Linked DNA regions of Schizosaccharomyces pombe. The protein of the gene in region 3 binds, or shares a complex with, the protein of the main gene of each other region. Each region holds a gene or a part of one and is shown on either strand. Other genes may lie near its edges. The genes, in order: mrpl17, mrpl37, mrpl23 and mrpl28.

Region 1 (5,314 bases), on a different chromosome or scaffold from region 3:
CGCTAGTTTAATTAGCAACATCAACCAGCCAAGCACCTCACGAATAGATACTTCCTTTATGTTAAGTTTACAACATGAGATTAAGAATTCTCACTCTGAAGCTTCGGATGGAACTTCAGACGTTCACTTGACTCCTCTTTTCTCAAATCTCTCTCCTCGACCATCTCACGTACCGCTATCACCTAGGGAAATCAGTAATGATAATTTGGATGACCATTTGATTGAACTTTCGGAACCAGGAGAAATTGTGGATAATCATTTAGTTAATGATACGAGTATGCATCAACGACGCACTTCGGGCCGACATGATTTGGTGCATTCCAGCAAAAAAGTCTCTTATGAAACGAAGTATCGAATAGAACGGCTAGTTAACGCAGCTCTGAAGCCTTATTATCGAGAAGCAAAAATATCTAAAGATCAATTTGCTCTATTCAATAAGAATATCTGTCGATCTGTATACACTGCGTTATCGGATGGTACTCTGTCGCTTGAAGGACCTCAGCAACATAAAATAAGCAAGACAATACGGGAAAAGGTTGTTAACTGTATACAGTCTCTTTCAAATGACTGATTATGAGTTATGTATTTATGATAGGAGTTATGGTTTGGTGCATATGCTTTTAATATTATATCATATCTAATCTTTTGGAAATCAGAAAGTAACTTTTGAGGTCAATTACAATTTCCAAAAGAGTATTTATTTTGTTAATGAAGGATAGTGTTTCTTTAATGTTTGAACAATATATGTTTGCAAGATTAACACTCGTCAAGAATGGAGTCTTTAAGGATTTCGCTTTTAGAAAAGAGGAAACAATGTATAGATCTAGTGATTGTCTTATTCTATTTATTGAAGTATAACATTTTGCATTGCAAAGTGAGACCGTTAATATAGCATGCAACGTGTGCTCAATATAGGCGTTGGTAGTATATTTTGTTTTAATTCGAATTTGAAATGTCATGAAAAAGATTGATAAACTAAAAAGTCTGTAAATTTGAAACCGCAAAAAATTGTATATACTTGCTTAACGTCTTCTAGGGGGTCGAGGTCTCGAAAAACCAGTTTTGGTGGTGCTTGTTTCTGCTTGAGGACTTGATATCCCAGCAGCATGAAGAATTTCCTTTTCAGTTATATCAGCGGCATCATTCGATTCAATCTGTCATGTGAGCATAAAATCTACTACGAGGGATAAACATACCTTGCCATCAATAACAATACCCAATTCTGCTTTAATACTATCCAAAAGACCAAGTTTGGAAGAAGAATAAACCATTCGATGTTTGACAGTTGCTTGCATTGGACAAATGTATATAAACACTAGACCTTGTTAATAAAATGATCCTGCATCTGTACTTACAAATTTTTGAAGAGCCGTCTTTTGGCAGGGAATAGAAAGCGAAATTAGGTTCGGTGGAAGAAAAGAAGGATTTCACATCAGAAGGAGGTATATTTTGCTTTTCTTGACTTAAACTTATGACTTCTTTGTCAATAGACTTTTAAAGGAGGTTAGCAACACCATACATAGCAAAAGTATCATAGCTTCCTTACCAAAATAACAAGATTGTTTTCTGTAGATGATTTTAAATCAGAAAGAGCCTTTAAGGCTTTATCATCAATCGACATAGCAACACCACGGGTCACCAAAGGACGCTTATGAGTTACTGAGGATTGCATAGACTACATAGTTGTTAAAATAGATGCAAATAAAAGAGTAGAAGCTATAAATTCTACGAGCCACGGTAAAGAAGTATGAAAAATCCATCCACCCCAATACAGTTTACCTACCTCATTGTACTCTTTCCTTTCGAGTTCATCTTGTCGTAAAGGACTTTGGTCCTCTTGCTTGCTTAAGCTCTTCATAATTTGCTGATAATCTAACTCTTCCGGAGTACTTGCGAAATAAGACTCGTCGAGTTTAGCAAGAGTTACGCATCTTACAAATGCAGCACGACTAGAGGCATATAACATCTTCCTGCGAACATTCGCATTTTCAGGGACATAGGAAATTAATTGTAATAGATTTTTCTTGCTATCATCATAAACGAGGACAAATGCAGGTTCTTCAGATCCGAGCAAACATTCACGGACTTTCTTAAAATCAGATTCTATCGATTCTGATTTTTCAACCATTGTTTTCACGTCAAATGAATTCTCTAAATCATTTAGTAACTTCAACTAACTTAAAATTTACTCTTCTAGCCCGAATGGAAACTTACCATTAGAAATGCTAATAATGGCGGCGCGAACCGGTACCGAAGAGTACTCCTCGAGAAATTTACTGAACTTCTCTGTAGCTATCCACACGTTAGAAGAATTTAGCCAAATTTCTTACGTTTTAATTCGACGGAAGCAGACATTGTTATGGGGATTGAAAGGTTTACTGCGTCAGCAATTCCCCATTCTAAGTGAGTTAAATTGAATTATAACGAAATCCAAAGAAATCTATTAAAACATATTAACGATAGCAACAGAGTCTCTAAGAAATATTACAGTACTTAACGAAGCGTGTAATGTACGCTGGTAAAACAGGTGGTAGTGCTAGCCATAGCGAAACGTCGATTGCCTTTACCAAGTGGTCTTTACCGGATTAGTAAACAAAGCCGAAATTTGGAGATTTACTTGGCGTAAATTGACTAAGTTTAAACAATGTACTTGAAGAGAAATATTATAAATATGCAGAGGTCTTTTTCGCGTCAATTTCACATTTCTGTACGAAATTCCATTCAATCCTCTAAACCCTTGTCTAACTCGACTCCTCTAAAAGGTACAGAATTAAAAAATGAAAATGAATTATCTAGGGATATTAAATATAAATAAAAAAATTACCTTTGATGTACATGATTGCTAACATATCTTAGGTTGTTCAGTGGGTACAATTTTAATTAGATCGCCAATTCTTACTCGCCAACCATCCGAATTCGAAAAATCTATATATAAATATAATGCGGAACTTTGGAATGAGCTGAGTGATCCTTTACCTGCAGAATTTTATTTCAAGAAGGGATCGGTGGGTGAAAAAGATTGGCAAGAACGACAAAAAACACTAAAAGGTAAAGAATCACCCTTTGAGACGATATTTGGAAAGGAAAGGAAAGAGATGGAGTCTAACAAATTATTGGATTCTGCAACTCACTTGCAATCCAGAGTCACAGAAGCTGATACGAAAAACGATGAGCGAAGCACTCTTCGCTCGCTTGACAAGTCCCTTTACTTGTTGGTAAAAAAATCTAAAAGCTCGGGTTGGCAATTTCCTAACACTCCTGTTACAAGCTCCGAGAAGGCGCTGCATCTGGTAAGTACATTTTTTAAAATTCGATTCCAAGATACACAATATAGTGCAAGAGACTACTTACTATTGATTTGATGCTAAATAATTTATCAAATACTCTTGCAATTTTTGTTTACATAGTCTGCAGATTGGCCTTTCTAACAAACTGTAGTTATGTCAAGATCTTTTAAAAAATATATTAGACGAAAATTCGTTGACTTGGCTAGTTGCACGTCATCCATTAGCATTACTAAAAACGGAACAAGAAAAGGTAAGACTACGGATTTTTTGTTCTCATTTTATCTGGGTTGATTTTTTGTTTAACCAGTTATTTCTAGACCTTCTTGTTACGTGCTCGTTTATTAAATGGATTAGATGTACCTAACCTGCAAAACGTTTATGACTGGGTTTGGTGTACGTACGATGAACTGAAAAACAAACTTTCTCCTTCTTCATGGGATTCTGTAAAAAACATACTTTCCGATCGTTTGTAATCTTCAATTGAGCAAACAATATGTAAAATCTACGGAAAATAAACAGCGGAACATTTCATCTTGGAAATTCAATCTTTCTACAATCTTACTGCATTTTTCAGCTTAATTTTCACGTTTTCTATTTTTTTCTCTCCTTAATTTTTGATGTTTTGGTACGATGTAAAAAAAAACAAATAATTTTGGAATTTCACTAAGTATTTCTCCTTATTTATTCTATCTTTTTATTTGCAAATGATTCTGCCAGTATTTTATTTTCAGCCGCCTACTTTTGGAGTCCGGATTTCATGATTACTCACCCTCATGATCTGTGGATTCTTGGCAGTGTACGAGAAAACGGGAAAAGCGCGCACCTTAATAATAAACTATGTTTAGCTCAAGGGACCTAAAAAAATAGAATTGTTAATCAAAATTGATATCCGTAGTTTGTCCTCAATTCCAAGATCAAAAATTCTTTTGTCAGTCATAGTCTAGCCCTTAAAGACAATGTCTGTATAATTTAGTAATTATCAGAAATGATATGTGTCAGCATAATCCTTTGAAAGTTCATTAGAATGCAATTATAGACTTTGCTTTCTGGAAGCATTAAACCGTACATACACTTGACTTACAGATTTAGTCCCACTACAAAGGAATTGACAAAGGGCAACTTTGTAGAATTCTGTTTATAAACTCGGTTCTTATCAATAAAATGTTAACAGAACAACAGACTTTGGAGTTATTTCCAGAAAATTGGGAAAGAAATGAGCAAGTTTTGTTGAAATACCCGGATGGGTTACCCAAAGATGTACTCGCTGATCAAAGAGTTGATAATACAGAATCACAGGTAAAGGATGAAATAACTTCTAACATTACGAATCAAACTCAAATTTTACTACCTGCTGATTCCTTTCCTCAGTATGGGTCATATCCTAACAATTCAGAACTCGATTATGTTGTATGCACAAAATGCGACCGACCCTTCCTATCAGAGTATATTGAGGACCATCATAGCTCATGCAATGGAATTAAACCTCCTAAGCCTCAATTTGAGCCTGTTGCGAATTCTCAGGTTTTAAACAAAGATGTCAACAATGGCAATAATGCACCCATCAAAAATGGTGTTAAATCGACAGCTAAGGGCTCAGCTGGGAATCATGAAAAGAATTCAGTTAATGGTCAAAAGAATCCTGAAATGCCTCCAAAACGTCGGAAGACAGAAGAAAACAAAAAGCCTACAAAATCCGCCCTTCCCAAGAAAGAGGCTAGCAAGAAGAAGAATCCAAAGGTCAAAGGTATGTTGGTTTATGCTGTTCAATATGGAGAATGGAGTACCTGTTTACTTTAATACTAACATTCAATTAAGGTCCTGTGGATGTTGAAAAGCAATGCGGTGTTTTGCTTCCTAATGGGCAAATGTGCGCCAGATCTCTCACATGTAAAACGCATTCAATGTCAAGCAAACGAGCCGTTCCGGGAAGATCTCAGCCATACGATGTTTTGCTTGCAGCTTGTCAAAAGAAAAACCAAGTAAAAATACAACGACAAATCCTCGAAACTGCAAAAGAATCCGAAGAT
Region 2 (4,717 bases), on a different chromosome or scaffold from region 3:
CAGTGTAAATATACTTATTTCTATTTTCGAATCCTAGCTCTGAACAAGTTCTTGTTCTTTGTGATAATTCCAACGTGTATTTAAAGCAGTATATAAAGGTCAAACACCATCAAATGAACAGTTTATCAAATCTCATGGAACCATTTATTAAACATTATACTTTTTGCTTAAATAAATATTCAAAGTGTTTTTTTTTTTTTTTTTTTTTTTTTTTTAATGCATATGGTAGGAATAGGCATTATTTATTAAATGGATTCGCAAATGGTTAATATTGTGCTAGGAGATATGTTGATTTCAATTGCAATATCTTTTACCTATATTTAAATGGCACTATGTAGAAAGCTGACAAGAGAATATTTTAACAAGCAATCCCGAATCATCAAAAATAAATTAAAATAATTTTAAAAAATAAAAAAAATAAATCGCAGAAGCACAAAGCATAATACTATTGATAAGTTCAATGTAATTTAATTTGGTTCATTACTATTTAAAACTAAATCCCCATCTTATAGTAATATAGAAATAAACAGAAAGTATATACAATTTCTCTACAGGATGAAAGAAAAAAAAACCCCCAGAAAATAAATGAGGGAAAAAAATAGGATATCAAATATTGATCGAGGAAATCACAAGCATTTCCTTCAGTGTAAGAAAAGCAAAATAGGGAAAATCGTAATTGTACATTGAAAGCATACATTTTTACAAAATTGTAAAATTTCTTTATTTAAATCGTTTCCAAAATGAACCGGAAATGTTATAAGCAAAAATATACTAAATAAATGAATTTAAAACTATTTCGGTACACTAAATAATCTCTTATAAATTTATTAAATTTAAATACATAATCTACTTAATACTAATCGTCTCAACGGAGGACAACGTGGCCGAGTGGTTTTAAGGCGTTCGCCTGCTATTCTGTAGCCCAGCGGATTCCCTTTGGGAGCGCAGGTTCGAATCCTGCCGTTGTCGGCATGATTTTTTTTATTTGTAAAATGAATATCGAAGAGCCTTAGAGAAATATGTTATAGGAATTTATCGAGGCAAATAATGAAATTCTAGTAAGAGAATAACCTGATGGTTAAAGCTTGTTTATTGATCTTCTTGCAGATTTTTTATTGTTTTCATGAGATGGATAATACTTTAAATGATTTATGTTCTATCTAAAGTAAAACTTGGCGAAATTTTAAGAAAACACCCATAAAGGTGTAACTATTAACTAAGAAGAGTTCGCAAGTCAGTGATTTATTTTTTTCAATTGTCCCGAGTGACTTAAGACACCGACTAGTACAATTTGTCAAATTTATTGTAAATCTATTTTTCTTTAACAAAAAGTGATTGCAAGCGCTTCTCGATCCTCAATGGATCAGTCGCTAACTGTGTGGAATAAGTACATTTCGCAAGTAAAAAAAATGGTAATTCTGACGTATCGAATGAAGGACATAACGTTAAACATAATTGAATACTAATTCTAAAATCTATATATGTTCTCTTTATTTAAACCGTACTACTAGATTGTTCCTCAATATCCCAAATAACACCTAATGGTTCTTTACCATTTACAACAATCAAGTGATTGTCGAAGAAACATTGCAAGTTGAGAAAAATGAATGAAGTAGAAATATTCTAATGTGCTAATGATTTATTGTAAAAATAAATCATATTATTTTATTTCTTTGACTTTCTTACATAGTCGAACACAGACAAATACAATTTTCGATTAACATTTCTAGAGTCTCACTTGATAGATTGTGCTTTACTTTATTTCATAAGTATTCCTATAGTACTCAAGCGTGCTTGGTATTATTATTGTAAACTTAATGACATTCTTGTTAGAACGACACCCCATTTGAACTTAGCAATAGTTTATAATTATGAAAAAAACAAAAACAAAAATTTTATTTTGATTCCCAAATTGTAAACAGACGCTTGAAACCCTTACATGTACCTGTGTCTGCTACCCATCTGTACATGAGTTGTATAGTAACGTCCAGGTTGTCCCATAACCAAACTCCTTGAACTTTGAAAGCGGCTCTTTATAGAGTCATTTTTTATTTCCTATAGTACTTGAAATAATATTATTCTCTAAAACTTTTCACTCAAAGAGCAGGACGTATTTGCTCCTTATATATGCGAAGGCGTTACTATTGACCTTTTTCATCGCCTTTGATCCACTTTTGGTTAAAGATTTTATCCTCCTTGCAAAGTTTTTTGTTTACTGTCTAAGCAATGCCATTTATCGAGTCAATGGCCCCTTTATCGCGCGCAATTACTCGCGGTATCTCTCAATTCTCATGCTACTCTAACACATTGGTTTTAAGAAGTTCCCGTAACTCTTCTTCATCATTAGTTAAACGAAGTTATGTATCCTCTCGTGTTTCACCCAAAAAGCCACAGCATAATTCGGATGCCACTTCTTCAGCTCAAAAAGTCGCTAATAAAACGCACACTAGTTCTGTCCTTCCAGGTACTATATTAAAGGGACTGTGTATAAAGGCGGGTGGCGTCGACCCTGTAGCTCGTGAAGATCATGAATATCCAGAATGGTTATGGTCTCTTCTGGATGAGCCAGCTCCCAATTCTAAGACTGCCCGAAGTCATGCTCGTAAAAGTGCCATTCGAGCGGCTAACTTTCTTACTAAAAAATAATTACCTTTTAGAATGTTTGAAACTCTTAATTTTCCATCTCCTCTCTATCCTTATGAGCATTTGATCCATTCTTTTTGTTTACTTTTTTTGAGGCATATGACATTCGCTACTTTACCATTTCCCAGAATCCAAAAATCATTTTAAAATAAAAATATATTAAATAACCTTATATCAGTGATATACATTTGTAGCATAAAAAAAATTACTACTACATGTCCTTCTTTAAGAGAAGCATATTCAAACCTCAACCTGCCAACCTTAGAGAAACCGGTATTGCCCAAACTGTGTATCGTTTATGGAATTTGGCTGACGAAAATGTATTCTAGAATTGTATTGAACGATGTTGAGAAAAAAGTTGTTAATCTTTTGAAAAAGACTGCTGATTTTATTGAATCTAAATCCAGCAGCAGTTCGTCATTGGAAGTTAGATTGGCAGGAGGATGGGTTCGCGATAAACTTCTTGGGCTTTCTAGTGACGATTTAGACGTTACGTTGAATAAAGTTACCGGTGTTGACTTTGCAAATTCAATATTTGAGTATGTTCACTCTCTCGACTCTGACTCAGTTATTCCATATAAAGACGCACTTGGCAAGCTAACTGTCAATCCCGATCAAAGCAAGCATTTAGAAACTGCTACCTTATCCCTATTTGACCTTGATATTGATTTTGTAGGACTTCGTGCAGAATCATATGATGATAAAAGTCGAATTCCTAGCGTTACCCCAGGAACTGTTGAAACAGATGCATTGAGAAGAGACTTCACGGTTAACACCCTATTCTTTAACATACGAACAGAAAAAATAGAGGACATTACAAAGCGAGGATATAAAGATTTGCAAACCAAAGTGTTGGTCACGCCCATTTCACCTCTCCAATCATTTTTGGAAGATCCCTTACGAATTTTGAGAGGCATTCGGTTTGCATCCAGATTTGAATTTACAATTGATCCGTCGGTCGTTTCCGCTATCCAAGATCCGAAAGTATGTAAAGCTTTTGAAAAAAAGGTTAGCAAGGAACGTGTAGGAGAGGAAATTGAGAAAATGTTGAAGGGTGCAAACGCGAAGCTAGCACTTCAACTGTTATATTCAACGAACACGTATCAGTTTACGTTCGATACTTTGCCAGCTGAAAAAGAATTTCAAATTCCAAAGGCATTGGAAGCTACCGAGTCTTTATTTCAGAGTCTTGCATTGACGTTTCCTAAACTTATGAAATTAAGTGAAGATGAGAAAATTGGGCTATGGCTATATGTTGCTCTAATTCCATGGTCTAGTCAAACTGTTATGGTTAAGAAAAAACAATTTTATATTCCTGCAATCATCGCAAAAGACAAGTTGAAGCTCAGAAGTACATATGTTAACCAGTTGAATCAGTGCTGCACATTCAATCCGATATTCGATGAATTAGTTAACGATACTTCCACTAAAAATTGCTCATCTATTGGCAGCTTAATACGACAATTGAATAAATCCTGGGAAGTCGTGTTTTTAACATCGGTCATATATAGTTGTTGTAAAACACCGGCAGCATCTGTATCAAATACATTTAGTTCTTATAAATCTCTATATGACTTTATTTATGACAAAAATTTACAAAATGCTTATAACATGAAGCCATTATTAGACGTATGTAATTCTTTTATTTCTGTTAACAATATTGAGCGAATAAGCTAACAATTTTTTAGGGAAAACAGATCATGAAAAATGTGGGAGTTAAGCCTGGCCCGCAGCTGAAAGAGACTATGGATAACATGATTTCCTGGCAATTTAAACACCCTGAAGGAAGTGTCGAAGATTGTGTTGCATACCTTCAATCCCTAAAAATATAAGAAAAGACAATCACTGTTTAGATAACTTAATCGCACAAAAGATTAAAAGAATAAAAGTCACCAGTAATCGTCGTCCTTTTTGGAAATTCGTATTTATGATATTTATGCTTAATTCAGAATGGATCCTTTCCTCTTATTATTACCAATCTCTAACCGGCTCTCGATAATCGTATTCGCTGGTGCTTGGTGTAATTTCGGTACAGTCTGGATAACAGTAGTTCAATTTGACATAGCATCTTGTG
Region 3 (4,725 bases):
GGTTCCGAAAACTTAGCATCTTCTGTCGGCGGCCCTACGGCGGTTGGTGTGTCTTTGGATGAAGCTCAAAATGACTTCAATGGAGCAAAGGATCATTTAAGCAATGGTGTTAATACTGTTGTTCCAGATAGTACCTTCCGCTCTACTTTCGAAAGTGCACAAATTCCCGACGCCAGTGTAGTTCAAACCGTTGTTACTGATGCTGACAATGGTGCTGCTTCTGTCAAAGATACCATTGTGACAGCCGAAAGTGCTTCTTCCAAAGGAGCCGATGTTGCTAGATCGAAGGTACAAGATATTATTGATAATGAAATTCCAAAGCCTTCAGAAAGCCCTCGTCGCTCTGTTTCTTCGACTCCACCAGTCCACCCCCCTCCTCCCGTCCCCCAAAATTTATCAGCTGTCAATGAAGAATTTGATACTAAGAAGAATGATTTCGATTCTAAACTTCCTGAATCTACCCCTGCCGTTGAAAAAGTTTCTGAAAATCTCGGATCTGAAACTCGTGAATCTTTACAAGGGGCAAAACCTGCTGCAGGTGCTCATAGTTCCGACAACGCCTTGGAACAAATCAAGCCCTCTTATTCAGCTGACCCTTCGAGTTCCACTGGTGCTTCTTTAACCGAATCTCCAGGAATTCCTCCCAATATTGTTATCATTCTTTGCCTGATTTTCTTCCTTATTGGCTATCTTTTCTTTTAAAATGTAAAGCGTAGATATGTTTAATAAGAAGTGTAAAATCTTCTCCCTAAGTTAATGGCTCTTGATTTTATTACTTTATATGGCCTTTGCTAAGCAAGGTTTTAGGTTGACGTTTGTTGAATTTGTTTGCTCTTCACAACGATAGGGTACTTTTTAGCGCGTTTATCTGGCTTTGGAGATAATTTCCAAATGTCGTTATTTATGTCGACGTCTCATGTTATCTACTTTTTACTCGCAAGAAAAGTTGTAGTCCTCTTATGGTTACCAGACATTCATTCTTACCAGTTCACAAACGTAAATGTGTCTTTAAATACATTACAGCTTCTTATAGTGAATACAATAACATTAATTTATATAAAATAATTTTTTTTGGAAAGAACAATATTAAAATGTGTTAGCTTTTTAGGGCATACGACATTGTGGAATGTTCAAACATTAATGCAAAAAATCAATGAAATTTAAGTGAGTAGGGATATGGCTTTTGTTCTTTGAACTACCTTTTAAAATTAAAGGAGATTTTAAACACTTATTTCGAGAATAATTCCTTCGCAATTTGCGAACTTACAGGATTATGGTAGGAACGAAATATGTTTGCCTTATAAGGGTGTTCAGCTCCATCGTAAATATAAAGACGTTTCATTCTCCTATCCCAAAGCTTATTTCTTGGAAGCATTCCACCAACTGCTCTTCTCAACAAATCCTTGTGCCCCCGTTTCGCAGCCATTTCTTCCATCGTCCACTCTTTAAGATGACCAGGCTGACCCGAATGTGAATAATATTTATGATTTTCGAGTTTTCGACCAGAAATCCCAATTTCAGAACAGTCAGTGACTACTACGACATCTCCACAGTCTGCTGCAGGGTGATAAATGGGTTTGTGCTTGCCCATAAGAGTAGTTGCAATTTGGGAAGCCAGCCTACCTAGAGGAACATTTTTTGCAGAAACATGATGCCAAACTTTGGCGTAAGCCAATGCTGTCTGATATTGTTAGTAAAAGAAACTGTCAAACTAATTTCATACTTGTCCATTCAACGTTGACATCGCGTTGAGATTTCTATATCATAAAATCCTCAGTTCCTTCTGATTTTTCTCTTAAAGCGACAGTACAATATCAGTGGTTTCTAATAAAAGAGAAGTAGGAAAATTGCTCAAATAATGTTTCCTCAAGCTTGTAGGTGTGGGTAAATATTGGATGCTAAGCAACTGTAGTAAGGTAACTGTTACCTACAAAATTTCTATTTTTCAAAAATGTTGTTTTATTTATTATTTCTTAAATATTGATTTTTCAATTCATAATACGAACCTCCTTTACTAATCATGATAAAGCTAATAGCTATTGCTTCAAAAAATACCATTTGTATATATTAGAAAAAATAAGGCAATGAACGATACAATGATAAAACTAATTTTTGATAAGCCCAAAGAATCACAGTAAATTGCAATAATATACAATTAACGCTTGATTACGAATTTTCCGTCTCAGGACCAGATTCATGCTGAATGTTTTCAATTTGACTCAACAGCTGAACCATTGTTAAGCCTTCCGGACCATACAAATATCGCTTGCTATACAAGTAGCTGCTTATCGACAATGGACGGAATTGTAAATATCTTTGCAATTCATGGAGGAGTATAGAGGACTCTTCATGGCCTATAAATTCCGCTAATTCATCAATGGTTTGTGGATGTTGAATATTCTGAACTCGTAAGAGACCCATCAAAAAGATTTGTATAAAGTTAATTTGATGTCCATCTAAATATTCAAACAAGAGAAGTTCTTTAGCAATAAAGCTTTCCACTTTCTTTAATAAAGATGCGCTAGAAGCTAGTTGGATAGGAGTGGGTATTTGATATTGCCTATGTGATGAAAGCGAGGGATTTTCATAGCTTTTCCATGCCTTTTGATAGATGAAACGTCGTACGCGTAGCAAATCGGCCAATCTGTCAGTGTTTTCGCTGGAGGAAAATGAAGGCTGCCGTAGTAATTGTCGTGAAATCGAATACTGATTTGACCCCAAAGATTGAGTATACCACTTCTTATACAAACTTGACCCATGAAATCCATAAAACACACAATCTACGTGTCTCTTACAGATGGGACATGTCAAGGATTGATCCATCCAGCGACATATGCAAGAATAATCGAACTGGTCATGCCCACATGGAGATAGCTGTGCCCGAAGACCATCTTTTTGTAAACATATAACGCAATCTCGACGAAGGTAGCGAGAATTTGACGAGTTTTTACGTACAAGGAATTGCTTTTTCATTCTTCTTCTAAAATTTAATAACTTGTTATATTGTATTTATGCACTAAATTAATTGATGTGTATGAAACCGCATGAATGGCAGAATGTCAAGTTATCTTGTCATCAAAAAACATTGTGTGCTTATTCTTCTTAATGGAAAATTATTCAAGTCATAATTTGCAAGACTTGTTGAATTTTTTAAGGTGAATTTTCACAATCGTCGTCTTACACTAGATGTAGGCTAAGTTATGAGAACAATTAACAATTCGCAGTTACTAAACTGAATCTCTTCTGTACGCTCTTCGTAACGTTAACTTAGCTTAACGCGGTTAATGCTATATGCATAATACAAACAAAGAAGTACATGTTAATGTTAGCAGAACTACACTAGCTATGATACAGTACGTTGCGTATCACTATATGTCATATGCTAAGATATTACTTAAGATTCGTTTGCTGATAGATGCGGATAAATTGCTTTTCTGCATACATAAATAAATTGCTAAAAACTATTAGAAAGATTGTAAATAGAGCTACCACTGAACCTCGTTCCTCAGCTCAGTTATTAGCTATATCGGTGACCGATACTAATAGACTTCTTATAACAATAAATATACATTGTTAGTTAAATATTGCATACCGCTATATTGTAGGTCGCTAGAGAAACGTACCGCAATTTTTCGTATCGTTAAACAGATACCGAACTGCGTAGTCAACAGTTAAAAAATATAACGAAGTAACCTGTATTGCACTGTACAGAAACTTTTAGGTAAGTAGAGAGGCTAAAGTCCTCGAGAAATAAGAAAGTATAAGCGGGTTTAGCTAAAAAACTTAGCATCTTTTGTTCATCTGAATGCCTTTTCGCTCTTTAAACTACCGTGGAAAACCCTAATCTCTAGATTTAAAATTTGGAATGTACTTGTTTATAGTTGAAACAGCTACGTATCTTTGATTTCAATATTTGCCTTTTAAGATTATTGCTTAAAAGAATTGTTTAGAGCGAACTCGATTTTGCATTCTCCAAAACAAAATGAACTGCATATAATACCGCGGTACCGAGGCAACAACTTCTACTTCATATAAGTTCTAAGAGTTAGTCAAAATGTAATGCTGATTGCAAGTTCACATGACTAATTTAGACGGCTTGAGATATTTACTTAAATAAACAAAAATTTATGGGCTTATTGTTTTTCTGTTTTCGGGTTCGTCTTGCTCACTTGAAAACATTATTTAATAAATTCATAGTCAATAAAAATGGATATACTTTGTATAACAATATTTGTTACTACATTTTATGCTGAACATTGGTGTGATAAAATTCATGGAGGTAGCGGTTACTTCGCTGGTTAGCTTGATCCTATTACATAACTACGGTTTACGATAGTATATCTCACTAACATTTAATTTCACTAGCTGTCTTTCGTGAATTTTCCTATTACTTTACCTGTGTATATTGTCGTTCCTAACATTCTTCCTTCTTAAATTAATTGATAAATAACTTGCCAAGTAGCATTGCCAACGACATCTACTAATTCATACTCTTGCTCAATTTCTTCAAATTCTCTTGTTTTTGTTGCCATATTTTTTTAAAATGATTAATATAGTCGTTTTAGGGAGTATGAATACCGATCTCGTAATGCGTACAAAGATATGTCCCTCAGGTGGTGAGACGATTCATGGAGAACCAGATGGCTTCAGTACAGGAAATGGTGGGAAAGGAGCTAATCAAGCTGTAGCTGTTGCTAGGCTATCAAATCCGGCTGATACGAAAGT
Region 4 (4,763 bases), on a different chromosome or scaffold from region 3:
TATTGAATCGAAACGAGTTTATGATGAAACTATCATAGAGGATAAACCCGATGAGGAACTTCAGGCGGAGTTAAAAGATGATGAGTTTTCTGCATACTTTAGTGAAGAAAGGAAAGTTCCGAAACTTTTGGTAACCACGAGTAAACGAGCCTCTAGAAAATGCTATGATTTTGCATCTGAGCTTTTAGATTGTTTTCCTAATGCTGAATTTCGAAAAAGAACCGGAGATATTGAAGTTCATGAAATCGCAGAAGCCGCTGCTAAGCGTGGTTACACCGATTTACTGGTATTAAATGAGGATCGTAAAAAAACAAATGCATTAACCCTTGTACACTTACCGAATGGCCCTTCGTTCTATTTTACCTTATCGAATCTCCAAACAGCAAAGGAAATTTCAAATCATGGCCGCTCCACTGGTCATATTCCAGAACTGATAATCAACAATTTCTCAACGAGACTTGGTATGACTGTTGCTCGAGCCTTTCAATCATTATTTATTCAAACGCCTCAAATTCAAGGGCGACAAGTTGTTACCATCCATTGTCAAAGAGATTTTCTTTTTTTTCGAAGACACCGTTATGCATTTCGTGAAAAATCGAATATGCCAGATGGTATTGGAACTGGGCTACAAGAATTAGGTCCTCGATTTACCATGCGTCTTCGTATGGTTCAAAAAGGAGTATGGGATAGGAAAGAAGGGGAGGTTTTCTTCGAGAGCAATGCCGGTGAAGAATCAGATAGACGTAAATTCTGGCTTTAAAGACATTTTGTCTCATCTGCGACACGTTGTAAAAAGAAAACAGTGTTTGGGTCATATTTTATTGTTTTCGAGGTAGGGTTTGGGTTTGGTAACAATTCTAAATTTTTGGTTAAAAAAGAAAGCATGGCCTTTCATTTTGTATCATTCGTTTACGGTGAAATTGGGAATGAATAATATGATACATGTAGACTAGAAACTAGGAGACATAATTCTTTAATTCAATTATTGGTTTATTTAAAAATCCTAATTAGATTATACTTGCTCGTAATTAGTGATACATTTTTTTATATACTTGAACTTGTCTATAACACTTTCGAGCACTACCGAAGATATTAATTATACTCATAAAAGGCGCTCGCCTATTTAGAAAGCCGTGGTGGTGTGTCCGTAGGAGTCCTCGTTTCTACGGGGAACCTCCTGTTAATTGAATCGCTCATTGCGGCTTTATATAATGTTTCACTCGTATGCTTCAGTTCCTCGCAAGCAATTTTCATTGCAGAGAATTGGTTTTTTAGAAGATTCTCTCTTTGTTTTTCTTGTCGATATTCGTGTATACGCCAAGCGCGATTAATAACTTCGTGTTTTTCCCACATGTCTGGATTCATTTTCAAAGACCTGACTTTTTTATTTCCGTAAAGAGCTTTTCTAACCAAATCGATTGACTCACTATGATTAGAAGGACCAGATTGGTGCTTTCCCTTTGAGGCCTTAGCCATTAATTGTAACGTAGAACGCATCTGCCAAAAAACTTTTCAACACAAACTAAAGTACTCCTTGAATTTTTTCACGTTGATAGAAAAAAATTTAATTTTCAAAAGTATTAACATAAAACCTTCCTTTAAAAGCTAAAAAACCTGAGTAGAGAAAAATGCGGTAGTAGTAAACGTGTTCAGTGGTATGAAGCTAATTAAGAGAGTAAGTCGTGATACACTAGGAAAAGCCACCAGTACGATATTTCAAAAAAAGAAGTGTTTCATCAAATCCCCTTCAATTTCACACACTGATAAAAAAAATATAGATTATAATTCGGAGTTCATTTAATTGTTTCTGAATTTTCAGTAGCTAAGCCAAACAAAGCATATGCATTTATGGAGATATGTAACCAAACGAAGACATTTAACAAGTAGAAAATATTAAGTTTTAAGTCAAAGCTTTATATGGAGTAGGCCTGATGCTCAATTTTTCTGCTAAGTTTCATGTAAGTAGTCAAACACATTGATAAATCCATATCAGTGTTTAAAGTTTTAATGAATGGATAAGTTATTGTAATAAATACTATCATCAACTGAAAATGGCATGGCAAAACGAAGCTTAAACCTCAATACAATCTACTTCCAGTACGTTTTTCAGTAGAAGTCATGAATTAAGTTGATTTTTTCAGCTTAACACTGTACTGTAAATTTGTCGATTAGCATACCTACATTCTGCATCTGTTTTAGACTAGTCCATTAAAGTTCAATTCCTAGAGGAAAAAATATTTAATACGCTAGTTATACCCAAAAATGTTTGTCAAAATATAAAAGAATAAATTTTTGTATCCCATCGAATAATATGAATGCTGCGAGATATTCTATTCCAAGGCAATATACATACACTAACACCAAACCAGCGACGTTCGGGTACAAACTTCGGAATTCCTTGCTCAAGCATCTATTATAGTGATTTTTGAGATTTTATACAGCTCAAATATTAAATTTCCCCAAATAATGATCCGTTTTGCTCAATATGCTCGATATCCGGTAATTTCAAGGTTGATGAAGCCAACAGTTATTTCACCATTTCAGGCTCAAGCGTTTTCTAGCTCTTCAGTTATGTTAAAGACATTAAATCAAACGATAAGAAATAAAGAGAAACGTCCTGAAAAAACAAATAAGCAATCTGTTGCTTTAGAGGGAAGTCCGTTTCGACGGGGTGTGTGCACGAGGGTCTTTACAGTAAAACCCAAAAAACCTAATTCGGCAGTAAGAAAGGTTGCCCGTGTACGCCTTTCAACCGGCCGTTCTGTTACTGCTTACATTCCAGGTATCGGTCATAATGCACAGGAGCATGCTGTGGTATTGTTAAGAGGCGGCAGAGCACAGGATTGTCCAGGAGTCCAATATCATGTTGTTCGGGGTGTCTATGACATTGCTGGTGTAGCGGGACGTGTCACATCCCGAAGCAAGTATGGAGTAAAAAAACCGAAAGCAGCCTAAACTTCATGACCTCAAAGACTTTCTTTTTCGAAAACCATGATATTCAGAAACGTTATCTTTATAATTATTCCACCTCCTCTTTTGATATCGATTCACAAGGACCTTATTAAAATGACTGAAACAAAAATTTAAATGAGAAAAAAGTTGAGTCAACCCATTTGTCATTTCTCGCAACCTTGCTTCTTGTTGCAACTATACATATTCAATAATCATTTACTCTTGCATGTTTAATAAGCAATTTTTTAGTTGAACTACATCCCCTTTAAACATACAATCATCAAAAAAAGGTAAAAAAGATTGTGTAATTAGGCAATTTCCAGTTATCTAAAAAATTAGCAAATAGATAATCCTTTTGGTTAAAATTTAACCAAATCTATCTAAACAATGATTTATTAAAATGAGGAGGATTTTCTTTTGAGAAATCCTTTTGGAAAGTTTTCTACTTTTTTGATATAAGCTCTTTAAATAAATTTTAAACTTGAGACGCTTTCAATTTTTAATTTGTTCAATTTGGTTTTACTACCGTGCTATTTAATTTTTAACTCTTGAATAAAGTATAAAAAACACCTTTTGGGTGTTGGAAAACGCTTTCCGGTTCTTATTTATATAGTATGCAGTATTGCTAGCACAACTTCACCGTTCAACGTTGCAGAAAAATTTACTAAACGATGAGAAAAATATTTTTTAACAAATCTTGGTTAATTGGATTTCTTGAAAGAAAAAGAAGATTTTATCTTGAACCCGAATAATTCATAAATTTGAGATAATAGGGTATGATGAATCTTATTTTTTACAAACTCAGATTAAAAAAAATCAAATTTCTTTTTGTTAGAATCAATTTACACACACATCTTTGAGATGTCCTGTAATGTTTGTAAATTCCGTACTCTTTTTTGGAATGTTAACAAAATCGTAACAAATTTAATAACAATACACAACCACAATTTTGTTTTAAAGAGACATATAACATCAATCACAACATGCTTTTTAATTCATCTGATATTCAATCTTCATACTATTAACTAATTCCAGGAAATAAATTCACTTTCAAAAAAAACATCTTAACTAAAAGCTGTTAAAAAGCAATTTCATATTTACATGCTCATTTCTACGTACAATTCAAAAAAAGCTAACAGACATCTAACATGATTTAGGCCAAGCCTTTCTTTTCCTTAACAGCTTGGAGGGCGCAAAGAGCGGCACCAATACCACTGCCATCCTTGGCAATACCAATGGAAATCAATTTTTCGTTATCACCGATAAGCTCACGCAAGGCTTCACGGAGCATGTCAACAAAGTGAGGATAGTGTTCGACTAAAGAACCATCAACACCAACATCACTCTTCTTACCAGCGCGGCCGGTAGAAAGATACAAAGAAGCAATGGGAACGGCAGACATACGAGCAGCACGACGGCCAATTGCATGAGCAGCATCCCAAAGGTACAAAGCCTCTTCGTCGCTGCGGAAACGGAACTTGAATGTACTAAGAACGTTACGAACATTCTCAGCAGAACGTTCAACCATCATTCTGGAAAGAACAGAAGTTTCCAAAGACCAAGCATCAGTAATGGAAGGAGGGAAAATACCTTCGTTGAAGTTGTAAACCTTGATCAAGTGGAATAAGGCACGGCGGAAAAGCTCACCGAGATACATACCACCAACGCGCTTCTCAAAGATTTGACGACCAGCATTGGGAGTATCATGATCAAGAAGTAAATCATAACGAGTGGAGTGAAGGCAAGAGAAATCAGTTGCTCCCCATTCCATGTTGATAAGCATATGATCACCAGTACACTTGCCAGCAAGC

The links.
Region 1: mrpl23 (region 3) and mrpl17 share a complex: the UniProt entries of both Schizosaccharomyces pombe proteins name them as parts of the mitochondrial large ribosomal subunit.
Region 2: mrpl23 (region 3) and mrpl37 share a complex: the UniProt entries of both Schizosaccharomyces pombe proteins name them as parts of the mitochondrial large ribosomal subunit.
Region 4: mrpl23 (region 3) and mrpl28 share a complex: the UniProt entries of both Schizosaccharomyces pombe proteins name them as parts of the mitochondrial large ribosomal subunit.

Annotation. Positions count from the first base shown.
Region 1 is NC_003421.2:2,122,991-2,128,304, reverse strand, and holds mrpl17 (mitochondrial 54S ribosomal protein mL46), read left to right. Parts: upstream 1-2,559; 5' UTR 2,560-2,644; coding exon 2,645-2,762; exon of another isoform or gene 2,763-2,856; coding exon 2,857-3,290; intron 3,291-3,438; coding exon 3,439-3,537; intron 3,538-3,604; coding exon 3,605-3,760; 3' UTR 3,761-4,172; downstream 4,173-5,314. Other genes in the region: ubiquitin-protein ligase E3 Asr1, read left to right, coding at 1-571; twf1 (twinfilin), read right to left, coding at 1,023-1,154, 1,197-1,315, 1,356-1,491, 1,547-1,675, 1,784-2,151, 2,215-2,292, 2,331-2,355; SAGA complex deubiquitinating submodule subunit Sgf73, read left to right, coding at 4,449-5,031, 5,103-5,314. UniProt on the Schizosaccharomyces pombe protein: Component of the mitochondrial ribosome (mitoribosome), a dedicated translation machinery responsible for the synthesis of mitochondrial genome-encoded proteins, including at least some of the essential transmembrane subunits of the mitochondrial respiratory chain.
Region 2 is NC_003421.2:1,252,319-1,257,035, forward strand, and holds mrpl37 (mitochondrial 54S ribosomal protein mL54), read left to right. Parts: upstream 1-1,999; 5' UTR 2,000-2,226; coding exon 2,227-2,646; 3' UTR 2,647-2,908; downstream 2,909-4,717. Other genes in the region: cca2 (ATP/CTP tRNA nucleotidyltransferase), read left to right, coding at 2,962-4,272, 4,332-4,475; protein mug117, read right to left, coding at 4,615-4,717. UniProt on the Schizosaccharomyces pombe protein: Component of the mitochondrial ribosome (mitoribosome), a dedicated translation machinery responsible for the synthesis of mitochondrial genome-encoded proteins, including at least some of the essential transmembrane subunits of the mitochondrial respiratory chain.
Region 3 is NC_003423.3:4,216,922-4,221,646, reverse strand, and holds mrpl23 (mitochondrial 54S ribosomal protein uL13m), read right to left. Parts: upstream 1,875-4,725; 5' UTR 1,745-1,874; coding exon 1,724-1,744; intron 1,682-1,723; coding exon 1,229-1,681; 3' UTR 1,031-1,228; downstream 1-1,030. Other genes in the region: scs2 (VAP family protein), read left to right, coding at 1-702; mrz1 (ubiquitin-protein ligase E3), read right to left, coding at 2,167-2,973; rbk1 (ribokinase), read left to right, coding at 4,544-4,725. UniProt on the Schizosaccharomyces pombe protein: Component of the mitochondrial ribosome (mitoribosome), a dedicated translation machinery responsible for the synthesis of mitochondrial genome-encoded proteins, including at least some of the essential transmembrane subunits of the mitochondrial respiratory chain.
Region 4 is NC_003424.3:2,666,526-2,671,288, reverse strand, and holds mrpl28 (mitochondrial 54S ribosomal protein mL40), read right to left. Parts: upstream 1,639-4,763; 5' UTR 1,477-1,638; coding exon 1,120-1,476; 3' UTR 921-1,119; downstream 1-920. Other genes in the region: Brix domain-containing protein Rpf1, read left to right, coding at 1-760; mrps12 (mitochondrial 37S ribosomal protein uS12m), read left to right, coding at 2,467-2,955; hxk2 (hexokinase 2), read right to left, coding at 4,106-4,763. UniProt on the Schizosaccharomyces pombe protein: Involved in mitochondrial genome encoded proteins translation.